3 linked regions of the Drosophila melanogaster genome follow. Changing the gene in region 3 together with the main gene of any one other region gives a genetic interaction. Each region holds a gene or a part of one and is shown on either strand. Other genes may lie near its edges.

Region 1 (10,611 bases), on a different chromosome or scaffold from region 3:
CTCTGTGCAGGCGAAAAGTTCAGACTTAACGAAAGGTCGAGGACTAACATACCCTTAAATATTCATTAGGCATTTGGCGTAGGACAAAGATATGCACAGAAAAGGTTTGTTTCATTGTTTATTACTATTTTTAGTTAAAGCTTGATGCTTAGAATATTTATCATAGGATATATCTTGTTATATCGGTTATATCAATTTTACAATGTAACATTTTGCTTGCTGACAGATATCATTTATTGCGAGACATTTAATTAACATTTTACTACAGCATATTTGTCCCATTTCAACATTGCGTTCCAAAGTAACCACAATGTACACATTATGTGTGTGTACCAATAAAACATAAAGGCTATTAAAAGGCTCTAAATTGTTCTTGGCCAAATGAGCCTGTTGCCAGGGAACAAGGGAACTCGGGTAACTGGCCAAAACAAAGGCAAAGGCCGAACGCTGGTTCACAGCCTAAAAATAACAGGAACTGAACTGGCTAAGCCGAATCAGTTGCTAGTGAGTTAGTGACTGAGTGAGCCTAGACCAAAGACACCTTGCCAAGAGGCTGGGCTGGCTGACCGGGCCAAGACACCGGGATGCCAGGCTGACGTCCAGGTCCAGCCAGATCCAGGTCCGAATGGAGTCGACTGGAGACGACTGGAGTCGTCGGCTCGAGTTGAATCGCATCGAGTCGAGAAGTCCACCGGCCACAATTCGTGCAGGAAGCGAGTTTCGTCGATGCAGGCAAAAGGTTTACACTGTCTTTTTCCTACCTTCCGTCCGACTGTCCAGTTGTCCCGCCGTCCAATGGTTCGTCGTCTGCCTGCTCACCTCCCAAAACCAGTTGCAGGTAGTTTAAAGTAAAGCCCAAAGATCTTCGCTCATTCGCTCGTCTTTTGGGATACCTTATAGCATATTTCTTATGCGACTCTGCTGCGCAACCTGAGTCGCCCGCCGTCTGTCCCGTCCATCCGTACATACATACCGACGTTTCGGATACAAATATATAACTATATACGTACACACTTATATATATATATATTTTCATATAATTCTCAGCCGTTTCTTGACTCTTACGAGTCGGTTGCATTGGGGAAATTTCGTAGAACTGTGTCTAGGATTAATTGGTTAAATGTTTGTTGTTCTTGTTACGTTTGCCTCGAATTTCTTTCGTTTCTACAGTGCCACTTCTGGGAAACAAATTATAAATTGAGTAATCTAGCACTAAGCATCGAATTCGGTTTTTATTTTAGCCATTTGCGTTTATTGACCAGAGGGCGAGACAGTTAAATTAAAGGGTTTTAATTCTGGGCCAATATCTTAAATATCTTTAAACGGAATTTTATGCAAATTAATCAGTTACTCTCTATCAATTGGATTCTATGTTATTGGTTAAAAAAAAAACTACAAATAAATCATTTTACTTCACTGCAAAAGTTCTTCATGAGACTGGACAACAACTAATGTTGCCCAAAACTTTTTTAAGCGGATTTTGTTAAAGTATCTATTCTAACTTGGCCACGTTGCCGAAGTTCACTTAAAACGAGAACTACTTTACGACTTGGGCCCCACTCCATTTGCCGGCCACTTCCTTCCGCACCTGAAAATCCACGCTTCACCTGCTTTTGGGCTTTCCGCACCGCCTCTCTGAAAAACAGGCACCACCTTTAACTAAGAAGCCGTAAACAAAAAAATACGAAAAACACATTTCCTAGCCTAGGCTGACCGGCTGCATCTAACAAGTTCGACATTTGGCTCTTGAATTTAACGCTTGATTGCATTCCAGCCCAAGTTCTAGTCGCTCTCCATGCACTTCCCCTACTTTGCTGGACAGGATCTGCAGATATATGCAGTCCAACTTCCATAACTTCGATGTTTTGGAACAACAAAAATATGAGCTCATAACTTCAGCAACTTACACAATTTAGTCTAGTGGAGTAAAACGTTTCAAAAGTGAATCAGGGATTTTTGGGAGTACCAAAACTATATGACCTATATATCCTGATTTGAGAAACTTTTGTATATTCCAACTAAAAAAGGGATTAATAATAGCATAGTATGCAGCTTTTTAGACTTGGGGCAATGGCTTACAATGGTGTAACTTTGAAAGTAAATGAATATTATTGCAAGTTAGCAACTGGTAGACCCGTTGCTACTAAAGACTGCTGTGTGAAGCCAATCCGAACGTCAACGACTTCATTTCGCGGGCTCCACTTTCAGTTGGCCAAAGGGAAGGCGGTGTATCGAGGGATATACTTGGGCCTCTTCTTGGGCCTCTTCTAGCCTCCCATAGTTTCCACTAGCCCCGCCACGCTTTGTGTATTTCACTGGGCTCCTCCACTTGTGGCTCGTCTTCGGACTTCCACTTCCTTGTGCCTAAACCATCGGGGCCCCTTGTGTGCCAGTTTTTAACTGGCTTCCCTGCGGACGACCAACGACGACCACTCCCCCACCGGCAGCACTCCTCAAAAGACCCGCCCGATAAACTGGGCTCACTTTGCGTTTTGATTATAGCCGGAAATGCCGTTTTACACGTGAATGAAATTTGTAAATGCAGCGTTGCCAAACTTCTGGCTACACTACGAATAAATTGATAGGAAGTCGAGTTAAATAATAAATAGATATGATGATTTCATATTGCCACCTTTTTTTGTGCTATGTTAAAATCATTTGCTTGATAGATTTGCAGCTTTTCGGTTACATTGATAACAAAATGTTGCTAATCCATATTAGATATTTTACTTTACCCAGTAAACAAACAAATATTCAATGCTCACCCCATTTAAGCAACCATTAATGTAAAATTTTGCACACAAATGTAAATCAAAAGAGTCGAGGGGATAGAAAAAAAAAAGCAGAGAGAGGCCGATAAACGAGGAGATGGGCAAATAGAAAAGTCCAAATTGAGGGGGGGGGAGGGAGGCCAAAACACGGAGAGCCAGCCAGTCAGCCAGCCAGCGCGCTTAGGGTAAGAAATATATTATAGGAAAAATCCACCCTCGGGGGGCCGCAGCAACGTTGAAAACTGCACAAAGGCACAAAACCATGAAGGACAGCTAGCTGAGACCCGGGACTGAGGTTCTGAATCGAAATGAGTACGAGGATGTTGACGTTGCCCGCTGCACAAAACATCAACATCAACAGCAGCAACACAATCAAAAGGGTTACAGAATCAAAGGCCTAAGCAGAAGGTTGCTGAACCCACGGCGAGACCGTGACATAAAATCGCACAGCAAAGTAACGACGCTGCAGATACCCTTTCTTCGAATAGAACAAAGACTTTTTCAAGTCAAAGAACAACTGTTTAATCTTTAGATATTTGAATTATAAAAGTACATTGACAGGAGGGTATTAACATTTGGATTCGAAGTCGGTCTTACAACTTTTTAACCGAATGTGTTTATAATGAAATCATTTACAAATTATCATTACATGAATTCTTTAAGGGGCACAAGCATATAATAGGATATGACGTTAATACACCCTTTTCTGCATTCTATACCACCTATTGTCTTATAATTCTCAAATATAATTGCCCATTTCGGCGGGATGTCTTTGGACAACCAGCAAAACAACCCGAAAATAACCATGCTTGCTAAACCAAGAAAAAATTTGATTGTACCAATACTATGGCAACACCCTTCGCCCATAATCTGGATTATTGCACTGAGATATAGAATCATTATACTTACCAGACAACTCCGAATGCTCCATAGCCGATAGGACGATCCGGCTGAACATCCTGGGGAACAGCCGGCGGTTGATAGTAGGGAGCCGCTGCGGCCAAGATTGCGCTGGCGCCCTGTGGCGCACCACCGGCAGCACCACCCTGTACCAGTGACATCGAAACGCTCATTGATGGACTACGCGGCAAGTTTTCCAAATAATTCGAGCAGCTGCACCCGGTTCTGGTATTTGTTGGCGATGGAGCTCAGTGGTTGTGGTCCTGCTAGGCTGTGGCTTTTACTGGTGGTGGTGGTGGTTTCGACTGGGTCTTGGACTGTGGTTCTGATTCCCAAAGCTGTGACGGCGGTGGTGACTGAGGTGGTTGAGGTGATGGTGTTGCTGGAAGTGGTGCTTGATTTGATGTGGGAGAAATGGTGTTGATTGCTCAATGGATGCCGCTGGGGCCAACTGATGGCCGCCATTCAATTGTTGGCCATTTGTTGCTGTTTGCCTTGGCGTGCTCCTCTATTCAGCGCTATTTGTTTCGCTGCGTGTCGCTTGTTACACTTCTTACTTATTTAAATTAGATTTGAGGACATTGTGATGAAACTGCGGAGTGAAGTGGATAAATAATCATTTGTAGACAGTTGAATTGTGAATAATTTAAACGTTGCTAACAGAATTTACAATCTTGATTTATTTTCACAGTACGCAAGAAAACTATTGAGAATTGATTTCCTATTCGACCACTAGTTACTAGTTACCACTAGGCTCAATATTTTGTATATTCTGTAAAAGCTAGATTTAATTTAATCCGGTTTTGGTATTATTCACTGTACTTTAATTGTCGTTACTTTTGTTTGCTTTTCGAATTTTTGGTGGCAAATGATGCTGCACAGGAATCAAAAAGAAAGAAGAGAGGAGAACAGTGAGAGAGAGCGCGCGAGAGGACATGAAAAGTGCCGTTAGCTGTCGCGACCGGGGCGCGTCCGTGTATTACAATTGTAAGTGTGTGCGCATGTGAGTGCGATTCTGAGTGATTTTCGGACTGCGCTGCCTGCGCAAAAAGCCGCTCAAAAGACACAAAAATCACTTAAAATCCGACTTTTCATGCAAATTTACAAATGTTGAAAACCAAACAATGGCGAGCACCCCCAAGTCGCCAGAAAATGAACGCAATCAAAAAACGCTCGCATGAAAATCGAAAAGTAACGGGACAAAAGAAATTCGCCCGGGGATATGTAATATTTCCCAGGGTTTCGCTTAGCTTTCCGGACTAATTAAACCTAACCTATGCAAACAAGACATTCCATTTCACTTTAAATTACCTTAAAAAATGCACAAATTATTGAGCAGCGGCGGTGGCAGTTTTTCGTTTATAATTTCTTTTCTATTTTTCTTTTTTTTTTGTGTTTAACTCTTCCGCCTTTGTGGGAGCGAGATGGAAGTAAAACGCGCCGGGGGTAATATTCGTGCGTGTGTGTGTGAGAGAGAGTGAACTAGCGGGCGAGACGGAAACAATTTTGTAATTTTGTTTAATTATTATTGTAAATAACGCGAGATGAATTTTTTGTTGTTTGGCGTGTTACTACTACTAACGCGACGGCTGCTCACACACACGCGCATACACAATCGCACGCACGTTTAAACTATGTACATGTATATGCAGAGCCAGACAAACAAACAAAATTTTGCCTGGGTCACGTTTCTTGGCTCTCTCACAGCTTTTTTTCTACGGTTGCCCTTTATTGCATTATCTTTGTTATCACACGGGCCGCGGGGCGTGGCTAAAAGGGGGGCGGGCGGATGTTGGTCGTCGGTTGGCGTTTGATTACCTCGCAGCTTCCCAACGAATGAGCCTAACTTGGATTTTCGATCACACGCGGCGACGTTTGTTTCAACGATAATTCCGAATTCGTGCGCTCGACGTTCCGCTCCGTTCGAAAGTTGAGAGAGACTTGAAACATATGTTCGGCGTTGCTAGAGGTGGTCGGCCACCGATAGAAACATCGATAGGTCCGATGTTTTCCACTCGTATATTAATTCAAGGTTTGGCTATCGATGTTTTTAGAGTGCCCGCACTATATCTATTTCCATCTCTATTTCGTTGGTATTTTTTGTATTTTATGACATTTCAAATGCAAAAGCAGGATGGCAACGCCAGATTGCCCCGAATGTACGTTATTTTTAAATTGCAGCGTTGAATATGAAAAATTGCAGGTACATACAGTTTCTAATAATTAATAGCAATAATTATTATTTAGCTTGTATTATACGAAGTGCACATGCAGCTATGCATCTGAAAAAATAATATTAATATATCGCCTTTTCTTCCATCGATAGAGTTCCGCGCCTATCGATATATTGTTGATCACCAAATAAATAAAACTAAATAACAACGCAATGGAACACGCGACAAGTGAATTGAGGGAATTTATCTCAGATCTGGTGATTCCGCACCAGCGTTGCAATGTTAACATCAATCCGGATCACATCACAATGCTGGAGGGCACCAAGATCAAGAAGCAGCACTCCCGAAAACGTCGCGCCCACAAATCCAGTACGCTGAGTCGCCGGGAATATGCGGCACTTGGTTTGAACACTCTTCCCACCAAGCAGATGAAGTACGAGGAGGCACTGCCACTGCACCACCTGTGGAAGGGCTATGTACGCGAGCATCTGGAGCTGAGGGAAGGTGACGAGGTGCCCCAGGTGCACGATGCTCGCTACGACGAGTTCAGCCGCAAGTTGGTGAAACTGGACTTGCACGGTGCCAAGATGAAGGTGCTGCAGTCCAAGTGCTCCACCCTGGAAAATTTGGCTGGCATCTGCGTCATGGACACCAAGAACGTGCTGAAACTGCTCGGCAAGGACCATCGGCTGCGCACAATACCCAAGAGCGAGTGCGTCTTTGGTATGAAAGTGGGCAACATGGAGTTCACCATATTCGGGCAGCACCTCAACATTCGACCCGCCGAGCGAAGCGTTAAGAAGATCAAGAACTTTGTGAAGCCCTTCATGTAGGAACTACAGGACCAATCATTAGCCATAGAAATTGAATCCTATTGTAATTTAAGGAAAAAAGTTTATTGGAAAGTTAGCATCGCTTTTCAATAGAAATTTAATAATTGCCCTCAAAGATCCTCTAAAACTTTACTTGTATTTGAGATTGTTGTGTTTAATATATATATAAAACCGTACATTAATTGTTTTTCTTGTTTTTTTTTTTTTTTTTTGGGGGGGGGGGGGTATATTTCGCGCCGCGTTTTTTTCGTATTTAGGTTCTAGTTTATGGGAGAGATTACCCGGATTCAAATATATCCAGTTTGTAGGAAAGATTTATGCGGGCGTCTTGGTCATGGTGATGACAGCGGATGGAACCAAGCCGAGCACTTCCAGCGGCTTCTCGTAGTCGTCCTCGGCGAACAGCTTGCGCGGAAAGGTGGTCATCAGAGAGAAGGGCGACTCGATGCCGGTCTTCATCTGGATGAACACACGTACGGCGGACAGCTGCTCCTTGACGTTGAAGGTTTCCTGTAGTGTTGAGCCATCCTGCAGGCGCACCTGGATGCGGGTTTCGGTGTAGTCTCGCGGCGGAGATTTCACACCGGCCGGTGGTGACGAAACTGTGGTGGAGCTCACGGATGGAGCTGGCTCTGCGTTGCCCAATTCCTTTTGTTCTCTGCATACCATGAATTATAATGAATTATGAAGTGGAAGGATAGGGCTAATCCTTACCTAGCCTTGCGTGCTGCCTTGTCCGCCTCAATTTGAGCCTTTACCCGATCGCGGGCCGCCTTCTCCTCGTCCTTTTCGCGCTTGCGCTGCTCAACGATCTTCTTCATCTCCAACTCCTCCATGCGCCGCTTGGCCTCGGTCATGTCCTTGCCGGACTTGATGCGATTCTTTTCCCGCTGCAGGGCTTCGATTTTCTCGCGCTCCTCGCGTTCGATGCGTTTCTGCTTGAGCTTCTCCTCGATGAGGGCCAGCTGGGCCTTCTTCTCCTCCTCGGTGAGCGCCTTCTTTTCCTCCTCCGATTCGGAGAATTTGGTGTGACCGGTTTTGGCGGCATGGTACTCCACTTCGGTGTGATCTCTAAGAACTTTGCCGCATTCGTCGCACTTCAGGGACTTGGCTACCGGAGCAGAGGTTTCACCTGCGCCACTGGTGCTACTGGAAGCTGCTGCGGCCGAGGAATCCACAGCCGCAGCTGGTTGAGCTGTGGAACCAGGGGATTCGCCGGCACCTTGACGGGATGGTATTGGATCATCCACGTGGGCCAGCAGCCACTCCATTGCCGGTTCTACGCCCTTGTTACTGGTCACCTCCAGTGCATATTCACTGTGAAATATATTTCAGGATTAAAGCAAATTCGATTGTTGCAGTGTAACTTATTTTGCCGGTGACCAGTTGGCCATTGTATTCGATACTTACACACGTTCCCGAGGGAATCCCATATCCATCAATGTCTGCACTTCACTCATAGCGTTGGCTGATTGCGTCCCAAAAATTAATAGTTCAGTTTCGTATATTTATGAAAACGAAAAATTAACAATGACACACAAAAACAAAGCCAGGCGAGATGGATAACTATCGATAGCTCGACCCGTGGTATATATCGGTGTAATGCAATAGTTGCAGCTATGGCAAACAAAAATGATAAATAAATAGTTTTAAATATAATATAAATTTTAAATATATAGTAAATAAATTAAGACAAGGAGCGGACAACCAAATACATTCCATAATTCTTTTAATTTTTTTTATAGATATTACACATACTTTTAAATAAGCATTCCATATAGCTGAAATCTACCCATCATTTTCGAGTAGTGTAGTGCCACCACCACCATAGATAGTTCGAGGTTGCCTGCGACGTTTACCAACTCTGCAAATTTGGCGTCTACGGAGATAGGTTTTTTCGACTTTGAAAGAGAAATTTCAACAATTTTATAATCAAAACCATGTCACCGAAGACTAAAAAAATGATCGTCAAGATTCCGCGCCATCCCTACTTCAATGTGCAGGGCGAACGGAGCGTGGAGCGCGAGGTGGAGTACCAGGTCCGAAAGTGTCGCGTGAATCTGGAGCGCATCAAGTCGTCGACTTCTCCGAATTCCCGTCCATTCCCGTTAAAACCGAAGCCCAAGAGATGCATTGTACGTGTAGCCCGACTGCCGGACGTGGAGCGCAGCGAGATTTCCGTGACACCGGCCAGTTCCATCATGAATTCCGACATTGACGAGAGTAGGTGCCAGGTCTTCTAGGGAACCTACGCCACAGACTACTTTAAAGCATTCTTCTTCATGTTATCCTTACAGATAGTGGCAGCGATCAGGAGTCTAATCTGACAATCTAGTCGTCTCATACTCAAAGAGCAATCAACGCATCCAGCTGACAAACTTCTAATCGCACTTGGAGTCATTCGAAGTACACAGAGTACATGTCCAAGATAAACCAAATAGATGTGCGGGGCTATCCTTTTCCTGAATATATATGTATAAGATCCTTATCTAAGACTTTATGCAAATCAAGCTCGATTTCTTAATACAAACTCGTGCGCCTAAATAGAATTTTCTCTTGTTTTTCATATTTAGCTATAAGTTATCTAGCAAACTTGAATCCACTTTATTTTATATACCAGATAGGATTTATTATGTAGACCATTTCATATGGATAATTTCATCGGCATATAATTGTATGTGCTGTGATTTTTTACAACAACAAATGTTTGATTAAATTTGTAAGGAATTGTTGTATTTTTTTGGAATTTCTAGAATATTCACAAAATTTCAAAAAATGAATTTAAAAAATGGCGGCAATAAGATTTTATCGAGTTGTGTTATCGACCATTAGATATCAGCTTTTCATTTAAAACTTTGGTAAAATAAATATACAACACTTCACTCTTTAAAAACGGGAATAAAAGAACATTAAATATTTTAAAATAATTATTTTTATTTAAAAACATATATTTTTAGACCACTTATCGACAGATCTATATATCGATACCCGGGAGTCAGCTGTCGGCAGAAAAATATTTCTGGAATAACAAAAACAGACAAAATTACCCGTATCCGAACCGAGTCGTTATTCCAACACCAAACATGAACTGGCACAAGGGCAACATTGCGGAGGCCGTGGCGGCATCAAAGGCCAAGGGCGCCGTGTTTGTCGTCTTCATCGAGGGTAATTAGTAAATTGCCAATTTTACCACGTCATTGCGAAATTTCACCTGCTTTTTAGGCCAGGACGAAATGACCCGAAAACTAGAGCGGTTCGTGGATGACAGTCAGGTGCGCTCCCGCCTGGAAACCTCCGATTTTGTCGCCATCAAAGTCCAGGGAAATAGCTCCGCCTACGGACAGTTCATGTCGTTATGTGGGTACCATTCTGGCTAGCAATCCAGATCAATATCAATATCTCTGATGGTTCTTTATTGATTTCCAGACAAAATCGTGCCAATTCCCTCGCTCTTCTTTATTGGCAAAACGGGTACACCTCTGGAGATAGCCACTGGGGTTACGGCCAGCGTAGATGAACTGACGGAAAAGATCGATAAGGTTCTGATCCTGGCGGGAAAACGAACCGAGCCTGTGGCAGCCAGCAGCTCTTCATGTGCGAAGACACTTGACCCCAATGAAGTCAGGAGCTTCGCCGGAGCAGATGGCTCAAGCAGCACTGGGGAATCTCAAGTAGTTCAAACAGGTAGTCCAAGGTCCATTTTAGAAGTCGATGTGCTTTCTAACTCGCAATAGATTCCACATGGGTTTGAAATAGCCTCTGATTAAACAAGATATTTACAATGAAATTCTGAATATTTCAGCATCAGAAAACTTTAGAGATCCTGAAACCACCTCAGTTTCAAACTCACCAACTGGAGGTGTGGAGGAGGCCAAGACGAATCCACCAAATTCTCCTGTAGCAGCCAGCTTGGCATCTATACCCGCTGCTGTA
Region 2 (10,351 bases), on a different chromosome or scaffold from region 3:
CACTGATTATCATTAACTATATTATCACCTGACGTCACAGACCACAAGACCACCAACCGCAAAAAGGCGAAAAAGTAGACCGCATTCGATCTTAAGTTCATAACACCATTCCCATTCATTATTTCATTCATGAATGTGGCTCGATTTATTTCGAATTGGCTGCATTGGCGTAGGCAAATCAAAACAATGCTCCGAATACCTTTGTAAAGCAGATCGATGCGATCCATTAACAGGGCTATTTGTATAAATTTATTGCATTTATGGAAATTGTTTAGCGAAAAGTGAATTTTCCAATGAAACTGGCCAAACAGAAGACAGACAAGTAAATAAATGCCAAACGGATTTCGCTCAGACACATTGTGTCGCTATAGACGCAGCTATAGAGAGGCCAATAGATGATCTTGGCAATGATATATGGGCTATATATGTATGTAGATATGTATGTATGGGCACCTCTCCCTCCAACTGAATGCTCGAAATTATTAATTGAGAAAATGTGTAGAACAGTCGGCACATATGTATGTACATACATATGTACTTGCGCATCCGAGGTATTCGGGAGCAAATTTCACAACTCGAGAAAAGAAAAGATAATGACTCAACTCAATCCGAGCTGCCTACTTTCAATATTTTGTGTTGACGCCAGCGAGAAATTTAGCCCACAAATAGCATCCAATTGACAACAGTAAAACATGGCCAAATATGTACCAAGCCGGCCAATGACGTAAGCGCCCCACGGTAGCTGCATAAATGGCAAAAACTAGCGAACACAAGAGGCAAAAGCGTTGCATCGAATGCGGATTACCCTCGACACTGATATGACTGATGTGTTTGCAATGACTGATGTTTCCAAATGATGATACAATGAATATGAGTGATTACTTCTTTGGAACTGTAATTATCAATTTAAGCAGCTTTCAAGACTTTTAATGAGGTTTATAGCCATAATTGTAAATAACCACAGAAAACCATTTGCAATTATTGTTGAGTCTGACAAAACGAAGCAACCCACTGTAGGGTATCCAAAGCCGTTGCAAAATGAACATGGGTCTTGATTTATTAGCAACAGACAAGGACGGACATAGAGTCGCGAAATTACAACGTAAGACGATGGCGCACTCGCACCCACATACACGTGATAAAAAAAACCGTATTCATTCACAGAACAGTGAAATTGGGTGTCATTTTGGGATCGATTCAGATTTCAGATATCTGCTGGTGTGGATGAATCAATTAAATGGCAAAAGAGCGAGCCAACTTGGTTGACCAAACTTGGACAAAAGGAGTGGCCAGCTAACGGATATGAAAGAATGGGCCGAAAGCGAATTTAGTCATCTAGTTGTGCATGAATCAATCACAGATTGTGCCATTCATTCACTTCGAGCCTCACTCACACATGTCACTCACAACTTCGAGCTCCGTTTTTTGCCCATTGAGTGGGAGATCGATGCAAAATTGCCACTGCACTGCTCACTCCTCTGCGATTCGTACTACTGGCCTATTAGTTTCTTTTCGCTCCTACTCTCCCCCTCTCGCTCGCTCCCAATTGCACGTGTTGGGACCGCTGCAGCAAAACAACAACAAAGGAATCGACGCCGACAGCGGATTTTGTTGGATTTTATTTTTGGGTCTTGGGGCTTCTCCGCTTTTTATATTCTTCTTTATGTCTTTCCGATTTTGGAGGTAGCTCGCCATGTGAAAGGAAATAATTACTTTATTTGTTGATTCTGTGTGTGTGTGTGTGTATGCGTACAGTAGGGCTCGGAATAATAGAGTAGTTACAAATATTGCTGTTATCTAAAAATACAGTTGGTCAGAATATTTTGTATTTTTCAGTTGCGAATAAACACAGTACATTATCATTTGATCCTATGAAAACTACATTTCGTTAAGATCCTACTATATATTTTTGTACGAAACAGTCCTACTTTTTTGGCCGCCTCTGTTTCGCCTATTATGAATGTGCGAGCAAGATTGTTGTTATGGCCCCGTGTTGCCTTTCGGTTGATTTGGCTGCCTCTTTTCCTCTGTTGCCAGCTGGGCTGCATTTCAAACCATTTGGAAATTCGAAATTGTTTGCAAGCTTTTATTGGCCAATGCTGCTGCTTTTTCTTCTTCTTATTATTATTGGCCCCCGCCCCCGCGCTTTTCTAAACAATAATTAACAGTAAATGAAAGCGGGCAGGAAACGCGAGAGGCCTGTGGAGGCTTGTAGGTCAAGAAGCATTAGATGGGCAAAGGTATAGGCCATTAGCCATTATTTCCTAGTCGCTGTTATTATTCTGGCCACTGTTGCAATGGCTCCATCTAACGGTGCCTTCTTGCCTGCCGCATAATGACGCCTAATTGGCCAGGCAGAGATCAGGAATCTCAGAAATCAGAGATCGCCAATTGAGAAAGTGAGATCAGTGACAAATTACGCGGGCAATTTAAGCGCAGCTTTAAGCGGGCACATCCGCTTTGCACATACGCGCAGTGCAGAACATTAGACAAATTTGCACATTTAATCAAAGACAATTGTTTAATTGGTCAATTGCGGCAAGTAACTGGAGTACCAGCCGGGAAATGGGAACGGGGCAAGTGCGAAAAACAAGATAGTGCAGGATGAGACTCCTACACGCAGCACATGTGACATTAGAAACAGTTCTAACAAATATCTTAATTGCTATCAAATTTTATGCCGCCAGAAAACCTCGATTCCACTCAGTTTCAGTTGGGTTAGAGGCAACACAACTGGGGGAAGTTCGAGACCGCTCTTTATCGGGCCTCTCTATTTACGTTTCCAGAGTGGGACGGCAATAGCCGTGGCAAGACAATCATCAAGTGCGACTCTTGCTGGTGTTTTCGCTGTGGCCCCTGCACTTCCTACTAGGAAATTCCCCAGAACTCGGAATTATATGCAGCAGCAGCGCTGGCAAGTGTCATTTGAGACCAAGCACAAAGAGACACACAGCAGCTGCTCCCCAGTGGACTTGTGTGTGTGCCGGAGAGTGGATTTTATTTGAAATTCAAACTCTTTTTATGGTGCCCACTGATTACAGGGTATGCGAGGGTAGTATGCACTTGTGTAAGGAAGTGAGCAATGCTGTTCTAAGGATTGAGACTAACCAAATCTCGCTTTGGAATATTTCCTTTTCAGAAATGCCCTACAAACAGTTTATTAAGAGGTATCAACTGGTCGAACCGCTATGAACTTCACTTCCTCCCCGGATTACCAGTAAAAATCGTTAAAATCGCAGTCGCAACAGCTGTAGGAAAACTATAAACCACATTGGGAAATGCGTTTGGGATGGGGTGAATATGGATGGCTACGCCTTTTGCGGCTCTCTAAGCCCTGGGATGAACTTTTGTGCTCGATTTCCAGTTGCCAAAAAGCGCCGGAAATTGCTGGCAACTGTCGGTGGTCGCCAGATCGTCGGCATATATGCAATGTCTGCAGCAAAGCCCCCTTTTTCATATGGAAAATGAACCTGATTCTCGAGCACAGCGGCGAAAATTACATAATCGCCGGGCAAATGGGAGCACAGTCATATCGAAATTGTGCCAAATTGCAACTGCAGATGATAATAACGATAATTTATTTCTCCCCCAGTGAGATGTTTCTATTATACGAGCAATTTTCTGGAATCAGCGGGTGCCTAATTTCGCCCGATTTTCTCTGTTTCAGCAGCCAGGGAAAACATTTCAATTCTTCTATTTTTTCTGGTTTTTTCGGCCCACCAACAGAGGTTTTCTCTAGTTTATCGGCTTTCCCGAGGGTTTTTCCTCTTTCCGCTACCTGCGAATACCTGCCCCGAAAAAAAGAGGCGTGGGAATCGCCGAACATACAGGAGGTGCAGAGTTGGGAAATCGGAAAAAATTGCAATTGCAGGACGTGTGAAAATGTGCGGAAGACAGGAAACGTGGGCCAAGACCACTCGCAGATTTCCCGGAACGGCCTTGGCCAATGGGAAAGGGATTTTTCCCTGATTTTGAACTCACCTTTTTCGGCAAAGAGGGAAGTTATATATGTTTCGTATCCGTAAAACGAAGCTCCCAAGACACCAGAAGAACTCTGCACACACGCACTTGCTTTTGAACCGTCTTTTTTTTTCAACTCTAGGACGAATTATCGCACGGTTGATTTACGTTTTTTGCTGGTTTGGCTTAACAATTTCCTTTTGGAACATTTATTTGCACACAATTATTTATTAAATGCCGCACACACACACACAGGTGATTGGTGATCGATGATGGGCCGTGTGTGGTTGTGTTGTTTACGTACGTGTGTGTGTGCGTAGAGCACGCCTCGCACACACTGACAAAAATTCATTCACGACACGGTGATCACGATCGTCGCTCTCGCTCGCTCACTCATGGTGTTTTTGTGTGGAAAATCCAAGAGAAAAATAATACTATGTGAAGCGCAGACGAAAGACGCACAAAGCTGAGTTATTAACGTGTGTTATTGTTGTTGTTGTTTCTCGTTGCTACTGGATGTTTTCTGCTGCTGTCGCCTTGTATTTACTTAATTTCATATGCATATTTCGCCCATGGTTTTCTTTTTTCCGCTGCTTTTCCTTCTACCTGTGCTTTAGTTAAACGAACACACAAAAACAACACACACGCACGCACACCACACTCCGCGCACACACACACGCACGCACGAAACGAGAGACGCAAAGGTAAAGTGGTAAAGTGTGTGCAAGAAAAGCGACAAGAAACGGAACGGAACCAACGGAACCCGTATATATGCACGCGCTCTTCGATTCAATGGCGATTTCGGTTTCCACTGCACTCGCTGTGTTTGTGCTAGTACATTTCCCAGTTTCCTTTAGATTTTCGGTACAAGTGTTGCTATTGCTGGCGAATTTTTCTCCTGGCCACCGCGTAGCACTCGCGACGTTACGATTTTTCGACGTTTGATGCGCGGGTGGAGAGCAGACAAGCGTCGGGTTGGAATTGTCGGGACAGAGTGTGACCGCGGCGCCATCCCCGGAATATACCATCCGGCTGCGGGAAATACCCTAGATACCAAACTAATCGCTCATATATACCAAACGGCAGCGAACGGCCACGCTAAAGAATCGATATGTACATCGATAGTATCGCACTGCAAACTGACATCACTATTAGCACGCTTTTAAAGTTTGTGCAAAATAGGTAAATAGAAAATTGGGAAAATAGGCAAGCGCCGGGAAAATGGGAGTCCGCGGCCTGACCAGTTACATAGCGCAGCGCGCGGAGATCTACCTTAAGCCGCACGAGCTGCACTCCACGGCGCTGGTCATCGATGGCGACAACTTGAGCTGCAATCTGTACAAGGATGTCACCGGGAGCTACTCCGCCTTCGGCGGCGACTACGACGACTTCTACCGCGCCGTGGTGCAGTTCTTCCAGGTTCTGGCCGAGTGCAACATTCGGCCCTATGTGCTCATGGACGGCGGGTACGAGGAGCGCAAGCTGAGGACCGTTAGCACCCGGCTGCGCAACAAGATTTCCGTGATCAAGAAGATAAACCCCAATGCATCCATCACGCTGTTCCCGCTGCACCTCAAGGAGGTTTTCGTGGACGCTGTGCGCGACTGCGGAGTCCCGGTGATGAGGTGCGTCTTTGAGGCGGACGACGAGTTGGCTGCTCTGGCCAGGAAACTTAACTGCCCAGTGCTCTCCTACGACTCGGATTTCTACATCCACAACGTCAAGTACATCCCGCTGATCACGCTGACTGTTAAGGTAAGGCATAAGTTATTTGGATTCCAGCATATACTAAGCGATTCCATGTACCCCAGGTTCTCACCAAGCAGGTGAAGGACAAGAACAGCAGCAACCAGAAGGACAGTCGAGATCTACGTCACTGCGAGGCCAAGAATGTGAAGAAGCGCACCAGGGCCAACAAGATTGTGACTGGCATTCAAACCACAGGGCTGACAGCCAGTACAAAAGGCAGTTCCAAGACCTACAAGTACCTCGACTGCTGCATCTACCGGGTGTCCCATCTCTGCGGACGAGGAACTCTGAGTCCCGAGAAGCTACCCCTTTTTGCCGCCCTCCTGGGCAATGACTATATTGCCCGCAGTGCCTTCAAGAACTTTTTTGCTGCGGGAATGGGCAAAGCAGGACGAAGTCGCAAACTAAAGCTCCAGCAGAAGCGCATACAGGTCATCCTCACATGGCTGAAGGAGGAAACGGCGGAATCTGCTCTGGCTAAAGTGCTGTCGAGACTGAAAAAGGTTCGTTGCTTGAGATATCTTTTTCCGATTTATGCTAAAAATAATATTCTTGCAGAACCAGCGTGATTCCCTGGTCTCCCAAGTGAATGCAGCCATCTCTGGTTACTCCAACGAGTTGTGCCACGCCTACGATTACTTCGATGAGCACTACGAGAATGCTTTTCCTTATATAGAACCCGTCAGTGAAGAGGAATGCAGCGACGATGAACATTCGTCTAGCTCCGATGAAAAATTTTCAGATGTCGAAGAAGGCGAGGATCAGGAGGAAGCTGATAACCAAGATGAGGAGCAGCAGGAAGAAAATCAAGACGTTGATTCGGGTGATGAAGAAGAAGAGGAGGCGGATGAAGGCCTCGAGCTGGAAGTGGAAGACAAAACGCTACTCTTCCCACAATGGTTTCTGGACAAACTATATCCCGCGCACCTGCCCCGCAGCTTCGTGGACCTTATGCACCTGCGCAAGTACATCAACAACCCACAGATCGAGCACTTTCCCTTCCACGACTCCAATGAAGTGGCCTTACCCATCCTGAACTACGTGTTCGCTCTTCTCCATCACGTAGAGTGTGAGAAAATTGAGCTACCATTAGAAGTGGATATGGATATAGAGGGTTCGACAGTCCCCTATCTCACCTACCTCACCAGAGCTCTGCGAGTGACGAACGTGAGGTATTTCAAGATGCCCATTGAAAAGAAGCCTGCCTATCCGTTTGATCCTCTTTCGCCGGATGCTAGGCATTTAAGAGCTGTATTCGAAGACAATGCTCCCAATGCGGATACGGAGAAGTTGTTCAGCAAGCTCGACCAGTTGCCGGAGGACCTGAGGCTGTACTTTCTGGCCATTATCTACTGGTTACATCGCTCGGAGCACTGTGATTTGCTGCATCTTCACTCGCTGATCCTTAGTTTGGTTGTCCTACGAACCATAGATGTTACAATCCCTGCTGAACGAGAGGTGAAAACCTTCCTTAAAAGATTTGGCAAGACATTGAAAGCAGAGCGAGCAGTGAGGGATAAGGAAGCTGCCGAGGGAATTAAGCGCGGCATCAAACCTGCTCTGCTAGAGCTTTCTGTTCCAGATCGGATGGCTCATGTACCCAAATCGGACTGCTATTTAACTCAGGAACGCCTACTGCCGCACTTCCATATGCAGGAGATCTTCAAAAAGAAGTTTGACTTGTACTCCACCACGGTTATCCACGCATTTGCTGAATTTCAGGCTGTGGTTTACCAACTCAATGGGCTAAATTCTCTTTTGGATTTTCCACTTTTGAGTCCGAGGATGAACCAGCTTTATTGCGGCGCCTTTCTCTACAACATGTATGATGTACTGAGGAATCGTGCCGATGTCCGCTACCATGTTGAGAACTTCCTGCTGCCCGACTCCAAGTTGATGTTCGATTTCTATTGCTACTTGTACGACTGGTGCGCGGAGTTTATACCAACTTGGAAGCGATTGGAGGTGGATCCGACGGCGGCAAAGGCCCTGCAGAAGAAGCGATTGAAGAAGCAGCGTCAGGCGGCTAGGAAAGTGGAGCTAAGGGAGGCCATCGCGGATCCCAATGCGGAAATGGTCGAGGATGCCGATCCAGAAAACGACTTCTTCGATCTGAACAACAAATTCTGCGCACTCAAGGTAGCGTAGCTAGTTTGAAGTCCCGCACGTGCAATTTTGAAGTTTTTACATTGTTACAAATCTATACTTTGCGTAAAATAAGAAAAAAATTAAATATTTTTTAAAAAACTTCATTTTTGAATGCATTTCATTAACAGTTTGGAAAAATACTGTTATTTCCTATGTTATGGTCATGTTAAGTGCAAGGTTCGGTATTTTGGCAAAGTAAAATACCTTATCAGTTGCGGTCATACTAACAGCTACGTCACTGCGTTGTAATCAACAAAAAAGAAAAATAAATCAAACTAAACCAGCCGCAGACTGATCAAATGCTGGTTATCGCATAGTTTGTAATCAGCGCCCGTCACTGCCAACAACAAATGAAACCCCTGTGACCTCGGGCCAGAAGCAGGAGCATTGCCGTTGCTGCCAGCGAAAACACAGGCCAAAACAAAGGCCCACCCGAAAAACAGAACGTCATTCGAAGGCAATTATCGTATAGACGAGCAGCGGAGGCCCTGGTGTCCACCCCCTTCTCCTTCTGCCAGCGCACCGGGCAGTAGATGCTGGTTGGACTCAGCGACCAGCTAGCGCGGATCATGGAGAGCGTCTTCGAGGCGTACTTGGGCCCAGACAGCGTCCTCGCTAGTGCAGTTGGCCAGGCGGTGGGCAGCGGAGAGCCGGAGGACATTCCCCGAAGAAACACCGACGTCTGGGTCCTGGGAAAGAAGTACAACGCCATACAGGGTAAGATGAGACCTTATTTAATGCTGTCATATGGGTACAAATCTAGCATATTGGTCAGCATGAGTCATAAGGGGTTTCCCAAACCTTTTTTCGATTATCATCGATGGATACCAAACTGAAATCCATAATCAACACCCTATCCCTTTTCAGAGCTAGAGCTCATCCGACGGGACATTCAGTCGCGCCTGTGGTGCACATATCGCCATGGATTTTCGCCGTTGGGAGAAGTCCAGCTCACCACGGACAAGGGCTGGGGCTGCATGCTGCGCTGTGGTCAGATGGTTCTCGCCCAGGCCCTGATCGACTTACATTTGGGACGCGACTGGTTCTGGACGCCGGACTGCCGTGATGCCACCTACCTCAAGATCGTGAACCGTTTTGAAGACGTAAGGAATAGCTTCTACTCCATACACCAGATTGCCCAGATGGGAGAGTCCCAGAACAAAGCGGTCGGCGAGTGGCTGGGACCGAATACAGTAGCCCAGATTCTCAAGTAAGACCATTGGCCTAACATGGTGGATAAGTGGTATAATCAATTGCTGATTTCAGAAAACTAGTGCGCTTCGATGACTGGAGCTCCCTGGCGATTCACGTGGCCATGGATAGCACAGTGGTATTGGATGACGTATGTAAGTGTGGAAAATGGCCTAAATAGCCCGACTATTTGCCTAACAACATTGTCCACTTTGTAGATGCGTCGTGCCGAGAAGGAGGCTCGTGGAAGCCACTGCTGCTCATAATCCCCCTGCGCCTGGGCATCACAGACATTAACCCGCTTTACGTGCCTGCCTTAAAGCGCTGCCTTGAACTAGACAGCAGTTGTGGCATGATCGGAGGTCGACCAAACCAGGCTCTGTACTTCCTGGGCTATGTGGACGATGAGGTTCTCTACCTAGATCCTCATACCACGCAGAGAACGGGCGCCGTGGCACAGAAAACTGCTGCGGCAGAACAGGACTACGACGAGACCTACCATCAAAAGCATGCTGCTCGCCTGAACTTCTCCGCCATGGACCCCTCGCTGGCGGTTTGTTTCCTCTGCAAGACCAGTGATAGTTTCGAGTCCCTGTTAACCAAGTTGAAGGAGGAGGTGCTCAGCCTCTGCTCGCCTGCGCTCTTCGAGATCAGTCAAACCCGCGCGGTCGATTGGGACACCACGGAGGACATCGACTGGCCCACCATGCCGGACATCGATTGGCCTGCGGGCACCTCGGATTCGGACTCTTTTGCCATAGTTGGTAAGTTGGTTCTGTTGAAGCTGACCATTAAGACCATTATTTATAACTTCACAGCTTGTAATCTGAATCAACAGTCCGAAATTTCACTCCGATTTCACTCAATAAATTCACTCCATTTTCCAGAAGAGAGCGGCAGGGACAGCGACGCCGGCTGTAGCGGCGCCATTGGCAGCGGCAAAAAGCCCAGTGAGAGAGCCGTCATTTGAGAGGTCGCCGGCGGAGCGCCTGCGCCTGCGCCGCACCAGAGCAGATGAAGCCCAGCCAGGCGAAAGTGGAGCACCCAATGAGGAGAAAGAGAGTGGGCCGGGAGGTCGAGCCCCTGCGGATGCTGCGAATGCAATAAACTAAGGCTAAAGTGCATAATTAGACGAGTGGTTGAGATTTAGATTTTAGTATGTTTACGATTTGTACGAATGCGGTTCTTAGCGATTCATAATGCTGCTTTATTGTACGCGATTGACTCCACGGGAGACAATTTGGCAAAACACACACACACAGAGCGACACTTACGGACACATACCGCTTTTTGATGATCAATT
Region 3 (10,665 bases):
AAATTCTGGTACTGGGCACTCAGCACATGTTCAACCGTCTTGCGGCTAATGTAGGCATCCGTTTCATCCGTACCCATTGCCAGATTGCTCGGAAAGATATTCTTTTGAATCACACTCAGGTTCTGATAGTCGTTGGGTGGTGTCCTCAGCGGAGTGGGGGTGATGGCCCTCCTTGTGTTGCCCAAGCTGGGCTTCTCCGGACTGGGCGTAACTGCCCTGCGAACCACTGAGCCAGCTATCGATGGAGCACTCGCCGGCATGGCCACATCCACGTGACCGATACCTACGCCGTTGCCCACCGTAGGCTGCTGGGGAACGGCGTACAGCAGCAGGAGTGGCTGATATCTTCCCCGGCTGCATTTGTCCACCACGCCCTCCCAACTGGGCCCCACCTCCTTAACGTTCGCATCATCGAAGTAGACCCACACCTTGAGCTTCGTGTGGAAGAAGAAGGTGGTGTAGTGTTTGCCGTAGTAGGAAACGATGCCAACCAGCTCGTGCTGGGTCTGCTGGGCCCATCGTGGCTCGCTGACCTGGTGAAAAACGTCACCCAGACGCAGGCTGGTGCCCACTGCCTTTAGGACGGCATGAACCTGATCCGCCGCCGGTCGCTCAGAGTCCCAAACGATGCCAATGGACACCACTTCTGGTCGGTTAAGCAGCGCACGACAAATTCCAATCTTGGCGCCGCAGGTGTTCTGTTTTGGGATTCAGAAGAGTTACAATATGAGTTCAACTGCCAGTATGGATAATAGTTAAGTTGACAACTCACCGGACAATCGCGTATGTCGCCCATGTTGCCGGCGGCCCTTAAAAGCTGGCCAAAACTCAGTTGCTGATGGGACTGCAGTGCCAGACTTTTCTGGGAGGTCAGAGCCGAGGCAGAGACGTAGTGCACCATCTGTGTGAGATTGGAGAACACAAGACAATTAGTTACCAGCGGAATATGGTCAAGACGGAAGTGATACGCCCACTGCGACTCTCCAGGCACGCGCTGACGTCACCCCGAGATTATATGGCCGCATTAGCCATCGATTATATGGCCCCTTTTAAGGGACCAACTGGTCCGAGCAGCTTTTCGCAGACAATCTGCATGTGCACGGCAATGTCCCATAACCCGTTTGCACCGCACAGATCGGTAATAGTCGCGCCAGTAACTGTTCTCGGACAGAGAGACAAGTGGCGGACATTCAAGACAAGACATTCATCACACTCAAGACTTGGCAAGTGCAACATCGTATGTTGCAGGTGCTCGGATCCAAACTGGTGGAACCCACGCCACGAGTTTGGCTCTGATTCGATCGGCGATTGTATCTGCGGTTCATGGCTTCAATCGGAGAAACAGACAAACGGGTTGACTACACTTGCGAAAACGTTGTACAATGATTTAATACGCATTAAAAACAAAAAAAGGGTAAATGACACTAAAAACTTTAAAGCGAACTCTATATATTCCATTAAAATTAAGTATACTCCATAAAATTAGCTTTGCCCAACGTATTGCTGTCGCTTTGCTTTGATTAATGGCTTCATTAAGAATCCTATTCTATAAGATTCTCGTTAAATGCATCCATTGCTTACCTGGGTGAAGGGCAGCTGCTCCGAATTGGCTCCGCACTTGCAGACGCTCTGCTCGATGACGCGCATGGCGAATCTTCGGTGGGCAATGCAGGCGGAGGATTCGCAGGAGTCGCCGTCATCCGGCGAAATGTGCGAGTGGACGCGGTGGAGAAGGAGCTCGAAGCATTCGGCTGCATCGCCCAAGCAGCCGAGTGGGAATCGCCGTCCAGCCAATGGACCACTGGCCAAAGCCCGACGCAGTGGCTCCGGGCACAAGGCGGGCTCAGAACTGGTCTGCAGCTGCTGGAAAAGTTCCTGTTGCAGGAAGAGCACAAGTTGGTTAGAAGACTTCAACATGGAACAGTGACTATAGTGAGGAATATTTCGAAAGACAATGCTGAGTGATTATGTAAGCTATTTAATATAAAGTATTTCCTAAGTTACATTAGATTACTAAATAATAAACAAAATATGTGAATACTTGTGTGCGTTTCATTTCTGGCTTTAGACTAATAAAAGTTGATCATTTAGAGCTTCCCCCATGTTAAATTATTCCCTAAACTTACGATAACCGCATTGATGCACCGATCCCTCTCCGAATTTCCCGCGCTGTTGATATGACCATTGCTATTGCCATTGCCAGTGCTATTATAGCCCATTACGGCCAATTCCACGCTGCTGGCCACTTTGGCCAAGGCACTGACCGACTTCTGCTTCGACTGCTGGCGGGTCAATGTGGCCGACTTGTCGGCTCCATCCAGGATTAATTTGCGGGGACTACTCCTTGGCAGGGTGCCTCCATTGTTGCTGATCAGGTGCCCCAACTGGGGATGGGGATGGTGGGCTTGAACGGGAACGGGAACGGAAACAGGTGATGTTGGGGATGTGCCCGGGGTGCTGGATGCTCCTGATCCCAATGCTGCTGCTCCTGCAGTTGGGGCTGCTACGCCCACCACATTCGTGGGTTCTTTCCTTTTGTAGCGGAACTTGATCATCTTGCTGTTATCCGGTAATCAGAGTCACAACATGGCACTGTGGAAATGGTTTTACAAAATTGCTTAGCTTTTACCTCTCCACTCGCCGGTTTATGCAGTTCTCAAGTTTTGGCCAGGCAGGGTGTTAAGTGTTTTTTTACTCTAGTCAGCTCGAAAATGCAAATAAAAAAAAGGGGGAAGTCAGCCAGCGGAAGTGCGAACTAAAGTGCAAAGTCAGCCCCCAAAAAACGACAATTTGCAATCTGCAACCCCCAGCAATTAAAGAGGAAGTTAAGTAGCGATTCGAGGCAATTAATGGTAGGTACGAGACGAGCACTTCTTGGCATATCGATCGAGTACTAGTACGATAACAGCTGCGACAGGTTTTTAACCATCATTTGGCACACCCTAAGCCTTAAACGCAACTCGACTGGACTTGACTTTCGCTTTTGGCCTGCTCTCGACCTCATTTGCGGCCAATCGAAAGTTTCGCCAGCAAAACAAACCGGTCCATATTCCAAGCCATCGAGACAAAGTTCTCCAGCCCCAGAAAAGTCAGTCAGCGGTTTCTCAAAACTGCTAAGCTGCAAAGCTAAAAACAGCAAATTGCATGTGCAGTGCTAAGCGGTAAGCGGTAAGCGGTGAGCGGTAAGCGCCGAGCGGTACAGCGGCAGAACGGTCTAATGTTGCCGCCTGACAACCGCTGACGCCTCGAAAATGAAGTGCCACTCGATGGAACCCGAGACCTGGAGCCGCAGGTCCAAGCTAATGGAGCTACCAGGGCATCGGCGGGGCTTTAGGGGTACAAGAATGACGCCATATGCGACATATGGCTGAGATCTGTAAACGCCTTTTGCCTTTTCTGCTGTCAATTACAATTGTTTGGCCAAAGCAACGGCAACCCGACACGAACAATGAGTTGGCCTAAAATTATTAAATGCAGGCTGATATGCACAGAGCACAATTGTGTTGCTAAAAATGATTAAAAAGTCATTATTGTTGCAAACACGTACGTATGTATGTATGTTTATTTGCCAAGACCGTTCTTTAATTATCTTAAAAATGTCGAAAGGGCAATAAGTATATATGCTAAACAATTTTCCCTTTCGAATAACAAACATAAGATATTTTAATTTGAAAATCGATTTTTAAAGTGTCTTATTCGCATTACTCGTATACACGATCCTCATAAATAAATACGCAAAGATCTGTTTTGCACACGAAATACTTGAATCGAAATTGGGAGTGGAATCGGCACAATTAACACTTGTCAACTGTTTGAGTTTTGAGCGAGATCGTGAAAAGGGACGAAAAGTTGGGGGAAAGAAGTTTGAGTTGTGAGTTCATCAGTTTGCACTTCGCATGACTGACTGCTCAAGTTCAAGTAGAGAGAAAACACAGCCAAATATACAGACAAATATTAACACAATTAAGCAGAGACCAGGTGAACTTACAATCAGCAGTGCATTCTTAGCTAAAAATTCTCAAAAACCTATGTTATCTTCCCCGAAAAACGAAGAGCGAATGACTGCAGCCCGTTTAAAGAACCATAAACGTGGCTTATGTATTTTTAAGTGCCACACGCAGTAACAACAACTGGGTGACAATTCTGGATTTTATGGCCAGCGATCTGACCCGAAACTCCGAAAAATGTTTAATAAGCGGAAAAGTCGACGTTGGCGAGCGGAAGTTCGAACTTCCAGTACTTGTCGTTTTCCAGATAAACTGCAGCGGAATGGGTGTTCCCGCCCTGCTCAATTGTTGTTATATAATTGGGCATTCATTGGACAAAACAGTTGCATGCTAATTAAAATCAAACGTCACGCTCTTTAATTCCAGCTTTTGGGCCTTTTTTCTTTTTTGGACGCTTTTCAGGCACTGGACCACACTGTTGCCACACAAACGTGGAAGTTGGCGAATCATTTAGGCCATGTACATGTAATTAGTCGGCAATTGGCCAACGATTTGCGCGAAGTGCGCAACTGCAGAGCACAAGGGGCTTATCTTGAAATGCGATCAACTCCCCGAATGAAACTACTAGGGGTCTTCAACAAAATGACAGTGGTTTGTAAAATGGCTTTAACCGCATGGAATGTAATCAAGTTACGTCTAAGAATTAAAATGATATTATACAGGCGATTAGGCCAACAAATTGAAATTAGAGTCGCTTGCTTTTCCCAAAAAAAAAAAAAAACGTTATATGGACGATATTTCAAAAGTGCATCGCTATAGCCAGATGTCTTGTCCTCCATTTTGTGGATCATGTCGCGAAACACGAGTTTCGCTCAAGTCTCAAGTCTCGAGATTCGATGAGGCGACACTTGGCGGGCAAACCGAACTGGCAGTCCTTGAGATTGAGACAGACACTAACCCAACCGACACTATTTATAGATCGGGGCTTTGGGCTTTGGGACTTTGGCTTTGCACACCTCTAAACGTATGTACATAGATCGCAGATACACACCAGAGTTAGAGATACAGATACAGATACAGATACTGAGAGCTTTGGGCAGCTGTTGTCGAATGCAAAACGAGTTGGCAACACAAGCTGGCCTGCAGCTAAATGTTTTCATTTATTGTTATTACTCCTTATTATTGTTGCTCGCTTCTGTTGTTTTTTTGTTGGTGGCTTTATGATTATTTATCTTTTTGCAAGCCTGATGATTTATGGGCTTTAATTGTTAAGCCACAAGCGGGGGCCAAAACGCTGGCTTTAGCTGAATGTTTCTGCTTCCGCAATTACAGCGGCAACAAAAGAGCCAGAACTGACCTTTTTCTCAGCCAGATTGAGACAAAGAATGAGTCTACCTGGGCTATCTGGCCAAATGTGGGAACACCACACGTGCAATAGCCCACCAACAATCTGCAACTAGCAACTAGCAACCTGCCACCAGCAGCTTGCACTCCATGCTGCAGATGTCTTAAGCCGAGAATCCAGCAGCGAAAACAGCGATGACTGGCAGATCAATGAGCCATACAAAATGTTGAGATACATGGCAAGAACTATTCTAATGCATTGTCGTCGGCTGCAGAGTTTATCGTAAGTATATCGTTATGCTTTACTTTGAGAAATACAAGCAGAATATGTAGAAAACTCTCTGGATATACAAAACACCGTTTTCATATTCAAATCCTAGAGATATTCAAATTGATTCCTGTGCGAGGCAAGGCGAAGGGGGAGTGTTGCAACGGCAACCTGTAGCAGTGATTTCCGCACGTGAGGCGAGTTTCAAGTAGTTCTGGCTAATGTCTGTATTCAAGTGGCTCCATGTTTACATATGCTAGGCAGGCGTTGGATGCCCAAGAATTACCCATAAATACACAAATCTGCCGCTTAATATTCGACTGGGACAGAGGAGTCCAAGAATGATAATGATGATGATGGCTGGACTAGTGACATATGGCTTGGTTTGGGCCAAAAGAAGAAGGAGCCCAACTTCGGGTTGACGGCCTGCATTTCAATTGCGGGAGTGGAGTGGAGTGGAGTGGAGTTGAGAGTCCATGCAAATTGAAACTTTAAACTAAAACACTCCCCTTTTGGATATAAGAAAAAATCGCACTTGAAGATCGCGTGTTTCCCTGGACTTTCCCTAGGGAAACCAGGGGTCTTGAGAAAGAGATATATGTATGTATGTACATATGTACATATGTACATACGTACGAGCATATAAAAAGAGCCTGCGTGCGGCGCACAGATTAATCTTTAATAAGCAGCATAAATGCATTAGGCGAGTGCCCACTGTACCTGTTCGTAGCAGGTTTCCACGAAGGCTGCGGGCTGCCAGGCATTTACATACCAAAAGATCTTCACAAAAGGTGAGGAAAAAACAAGTTGGCAGTTGGCGGTTGGCGGTCTTAAGCCATTTGGACCGCTATGATTTTTGACGCGGACCGGACCCACATGCTCGTCGAATATCAAAGAATCAATAACCAACGGAAAAGAAACAGGTAATTCGATTTGAACTGAGCACCACCTAGCTGCGATCTTCAAACTCAAACTTCATTGTTTCATTTCTAATAATCAAATCGGGGGGGGAAAAAAAAACTGGCCAAAAACTTGAGTTCTGTTTGAGCTTTGTTTAAGTTTTCAACTTACGCAAGCTATATTCTGTTTTGTATTTATAAAAGTAATCCAGTGATTTATCTCGATCTGAGCACAACTCTGGATCTCTTTGCTGAATGTATTGGTCGTTCGTGTTGAGTAAACTTTTGCAGGCACAAGGCACAAAAAAAAAATCAGTTTTATTTGAACTCGTTAGGAATCAGCGTTATTTTTTTGCCGCGCGCGCAATTCTTCACTTTGATTTCCACTGAGATTCGATTCTGGATGGGGTTTATGGATGGAGCAAAAGCGACCGACTGCCGATGAAAACACGTCCGCCGACTGGGAAATTTGTATCGCAACTGAAACTCGTTTGGCCGCTTGGCTTTTGGCCATCCGAAATGAGAGAGAGGGAGAGAGAGAGAGAGAGAAAGGTGCACAGTCCAGAGCGGAGATACAGTGCTGGCTCTCCGGAGAAACTGGTTTTCCAGGGGAACAAGAACTTCAGTTATATCAACAGCGAACTCACCTGAGCAAACCCTAACCAAAAACCCGAACCCGAACCCATACCCAAACCGAATCCGAACTCGAAAACGGGGGAGTTTGTCTTGTAGTAGGCCAAACAGGTAAATGTCTTGCTCGAGCAGGTAAACAGCGTCTCTCTCTCTCTCTCTCTCTCTCTTTCTTCTCTCGAGATTCTCAGCACTCCGATTCGATTCTCAGATTTCCACAGACGAAGCACCCTGTAAGCCTCCACGGATATACCTTTGACAAAATGACAATTGCAGCCAGCGGTATATAGAAAAAGTCCGCATCATCTTGCAGCTTAAATAATAGACCAGAACCCCATAGGCATAGGCATAGGTCTAAGACCAAGCTTGGAGTCTGTGGCCATGGTTGTCTTTGGTGCGCAGATTGCAGATCTTGAGATTCATGAGTCATACTGTAAAAGCGGGAATGCCAGAGAAACGCGTGCGCATGTGCAAAGCCTACGAAACGAAAAAAAAAACCCCGAGCGATTCCATGGAAAGCCCTAATATATTCGATCGTCCATAAACCTTGTAGCCCAAATTTGTTGTATTTGCTGTAGCTGAGTGCAGCGGTAAAAGTAAGATAGGAGTTGCTGCGGCTGCGATGCCGAAATAAAAAACAAAAAAAAAAACAAAACGAGGAGTAAACAAAAGGCCTCTTTCTTCTCTGGGTTCAAAAGTTTAGGACCATCCACCCGCCAACGAGTCCATGACTCAAAAAGAAGCGAGAGTTGGGGCATCGAAACTGGAGTCAAACAGTGACTCATGGCCAGACTATGAAGGTGTAACGTCAGTTGATTGATTGGGTCAGAGTAAACTGCACACAAGACCAAGATGCAGATGTAAGGGGCATAGGACACACTCGCATAACAAACGTCACAAAACTATATACATATGTTAAATACCCAGCATGTTCCATTTATATTTGACAGCATTGGCTTCAAATATCAAAATTAGATAAAATATAGGGATACATATTGGATGATCACTAACTAAAATGTCGTTAGCCTTTATAATTTTTTTTTTTTATCCAAGACACAGAACTGATCAATCAACTTTGCCCAAAACGTTTTGACCAATTTGGGGAGTATAGAAACTAGATAGCCCGAAAACAAATCACTGGCCATTTTGATGGATTGACACGCTGAGGTTTCTTTCTCTAATATGTCAAAGGCGATCTTGGCTAAAATATCAAACAAAAACTAAGAAAACTATTCAATAATTGATGGATTCTCTATCGCCGACTGACTGCATTTCTTTGCCATGGCGGTAAATAAAAAGTTGTCGTATTTTGTACGAATAAAAAACCTTCGTATCGCACGTCGATCGAATAAATTGAAGACATAATAAAAAGCACAACGAAAATCAGAAGAAACGAAATAAAGCTTAACAAAATTAAAGGTAAAGATCGGCAACGTACATGGGTTTTTTTTTTTTTTGATCGTTGCTGAAGAGTGAATCACACTGATTGAGATATGGCGAAGATGGAAATGGATTTGTCTCTGCATCTCCGATTAGCACCTTCTACACTCGTGCCCTTCTCATATGTATATGTATGTATGTATGTACATACTACCAGCACTATATAGTACATAATACACACCTCCAACTCTGGTTTTGTTCATGGTAATTTGGATTTCCTTTTTATGGTGGCTCTGAACAAACAATGAAACTAAAAAAAAAAAAAACTGTGTGTGTTTGCACTTGCTTTAGATGCCATCCAGATTATAGAGTAACCAAAAAAAAATCCAAATCTGGAGTATGCATATACCATACATATGTACATATATATTTGGAGGGCAAACAGAGCTTAGCGATAAGTGGAAGCCCATGCAACTGGCACACGATCATCAAGTGTCTGCGGCACGGACTTTGGATGGATCTGTATGGATCGTTTTCCTGGTAAAGAGGACATTGTCTTCTTGGTTCTTCTTCACACACTAATGACTTTGTCCTTTGGTTGTGTGGATTTCTGAAAATGCAGAATGAAAAGTCTGGGCCCTTCCTAATGAGAATTGTGCATTGAAGCATGACAGCGCCGAGAAAACTGTCGAGACGATTTTTCATCAAGAAGAAGTTCTTAGCCCTCTCTTATATGAAACAATCAGCGTGGGGAACGGTCAAAATGCGATCGCAATCGTGGGAGTTTCCCAGCTGAAAAAGGCCAACGTCTTCAGTGCGACGATTTTCATAATTAAATAGTCTTCTTCCCGCGGGAAAGGTGGAGTAAAAATTAATTTAGCCGCTCCGCGTATAAATAATGCAAAATGCAAAGGCAAAGGCAAAGGCAAAGGCAAAGGCAAAAGGGGCAACCCTTCTCGTTTCTCATTTCTCGTTTAATATGTGGCAGCAAACAAGTGGGCAAGTGGCAGCCATGGTTTTCCGGGCCAAATCGGTGGGTTTGGGGGCACTACTACACGACGGCATGGAGGTGCAGAACAGTCAAAACAAAACAGTCAAACAAAAACAAACCGAAGAAGAGGCACCAACACTTTCCACTTCGTCGTCATCAATGTTTAAGGAGCGAAAAAAAAAATAAAAACGAAGGGGAAAACGCTGCGGAGAGCGGACCCACTGTGAGCACAGTGTGCACCCTGTTTTTTTGTTTTTTTTGTTTGTGGCCAGAGCGTCTTGGCCCAAAAAGTACAGTCGCGTACAGTCGTTAGCCTTTTGTTTGTTGGCGGCCCGAGTTTTTCCCGAACGTCACGAGTTTGTCGCTTGCCCAGGGGTTAGCACGATGGAAGATGCTACTCCGGGTTTTCGTTTGGGCCTATGTTTGAGCTTGGGTCCTATTCTGCTTTTCTGCTACTCTGCTCTTCTGGCTAATGATCACTGAGATAATAATAATGATCTTCATCATCCGCTGGTCTGGTTTCTATATATATGTATATTGCACCAGCCGCCTGAGAGGGTGACTGTCTTATGGTTTTCCTCATGGCTCTCGAGTCCCCAAGTTTTTTTTTTCGGTTCAGCCTATCATGACCTTTTTTTTTTTGTTTTTTGATGACTTGTTGATTTTCCCGTTCTGGAGTAATTATGCACTTTTTTTTAATATCAAAAGTCAGTCGATATAGTGCTGCGTTCTGGTTTATCTCAAATGAAATGTGAACTGCAGTTGTGCAAATAAGTGGTTCTTATTACATGATTATTTCGTATTTTGTATTTTTATTACAGTATAATTCGCTTAGCTGCATCGATAGTTAGCTGCATCGGCAAGATATCTGCATTATTTTTCCATTTTTTTGTGTGAATAGAAAATAGAAAATAGAAAAAAAAAAATTAAGTTAGCTGCATTTTTAAGTTACCTGCATCGAGGCATTGTGCAAAGTACTCGAGGCAGCTAAGCGAATTATACTGTATATCAAGTTCAAACGAATCTAATGGCATTTGCATAATTGCACTTGACTGCGAGTTTAATTCGAGGTTTTACGAGGTGAGAACAGGACAAACGAGGCGTTGAGTGCCGGTCACGCTAGAGGGTCCGGCAAAGGTCCTGACAGGCGTGACCAGTGGCCCAGGACTACAGGATCCCAGGACTTATCCGGGACAAGGATCTAAA

Evidence for each region.
Region 1: of ec (region 3) and nmo, changing one suppresses a phenotype caused by changing the other (phenotypic suppression), as found in Drosophila melanogaster (one study listed by BioGRID).
Region 2: of ec (region 3) and S, changing one suppresses a phenotype caused by changing the other (phenotypic suppression), as found in Drosophila melanogaster (one study listed by BioGRID).

The regions. Positions count from the first base shown.
Region 1 is NT_037436.4:7,974,052-7,984,662, reverse strand, and holds the start of nmo (nemo), read right to left. Parts: upstream 5,618-10,611; 5' UTR 5,490-5,617; exon of another isoform or gene 5,154-5,489; 5' UTR 4,983-5,153; intron 4,264-4,982; 5' UTR 3,845-4,263; coding exon 3,681-3,844; intron 1-3,680. Other genes in the region: POP4 ribonuclease P/MRP subunit, read left to right, coding at 6,058-6,678; CG8209 (uncharacterized protein), read right to left, coding at 6,994-7,336, 7,393-7,995, 8,089-8,138; HP4 (heterochromatin protein 4), read left to right, coding at 8,619-8,901, 8,976-9,013; CG8042 (uncharacterized protein), read left to right, coding at 9,762-9,843, 9,901-10,035, 10,105-10,362, 10,481-10,611.
Region 2 is NT_033779.5:1,072,854-1,083,204, forward strand, and holds the start of S (star), read right to left. Parts: upstream 4,963-10,351; 5' UTR 3,982-4,962; intron 1-3,981. Other genes in the region: ast (asteroid), read left to right, coding at 5,182-5,715, 5,772-6,212, 6,268-7,857; Atg4a (Autophagy-related 4a), read left to right, coding at 8,391-8,574, 8,725-9,067, 9,124-9,203, 9,267-9,812, 9,936-10,018.
Region 3 is NC_004354.4:3,842,173-3,852,837, reverse strand, and holds the start of ec (echinus), read right to left. Parts: upstream 6,941-10,665; 5' UTR 6,631-6,940; intron 2,593-6,630; 5' UTR 2,556-2,592; coding exon 2,127-2,555; intron 1,876-2,126; coding exon 1,582-1,875; intron 902-1,581; coding exon 773-901; intron 699-772; coding exon 1-698.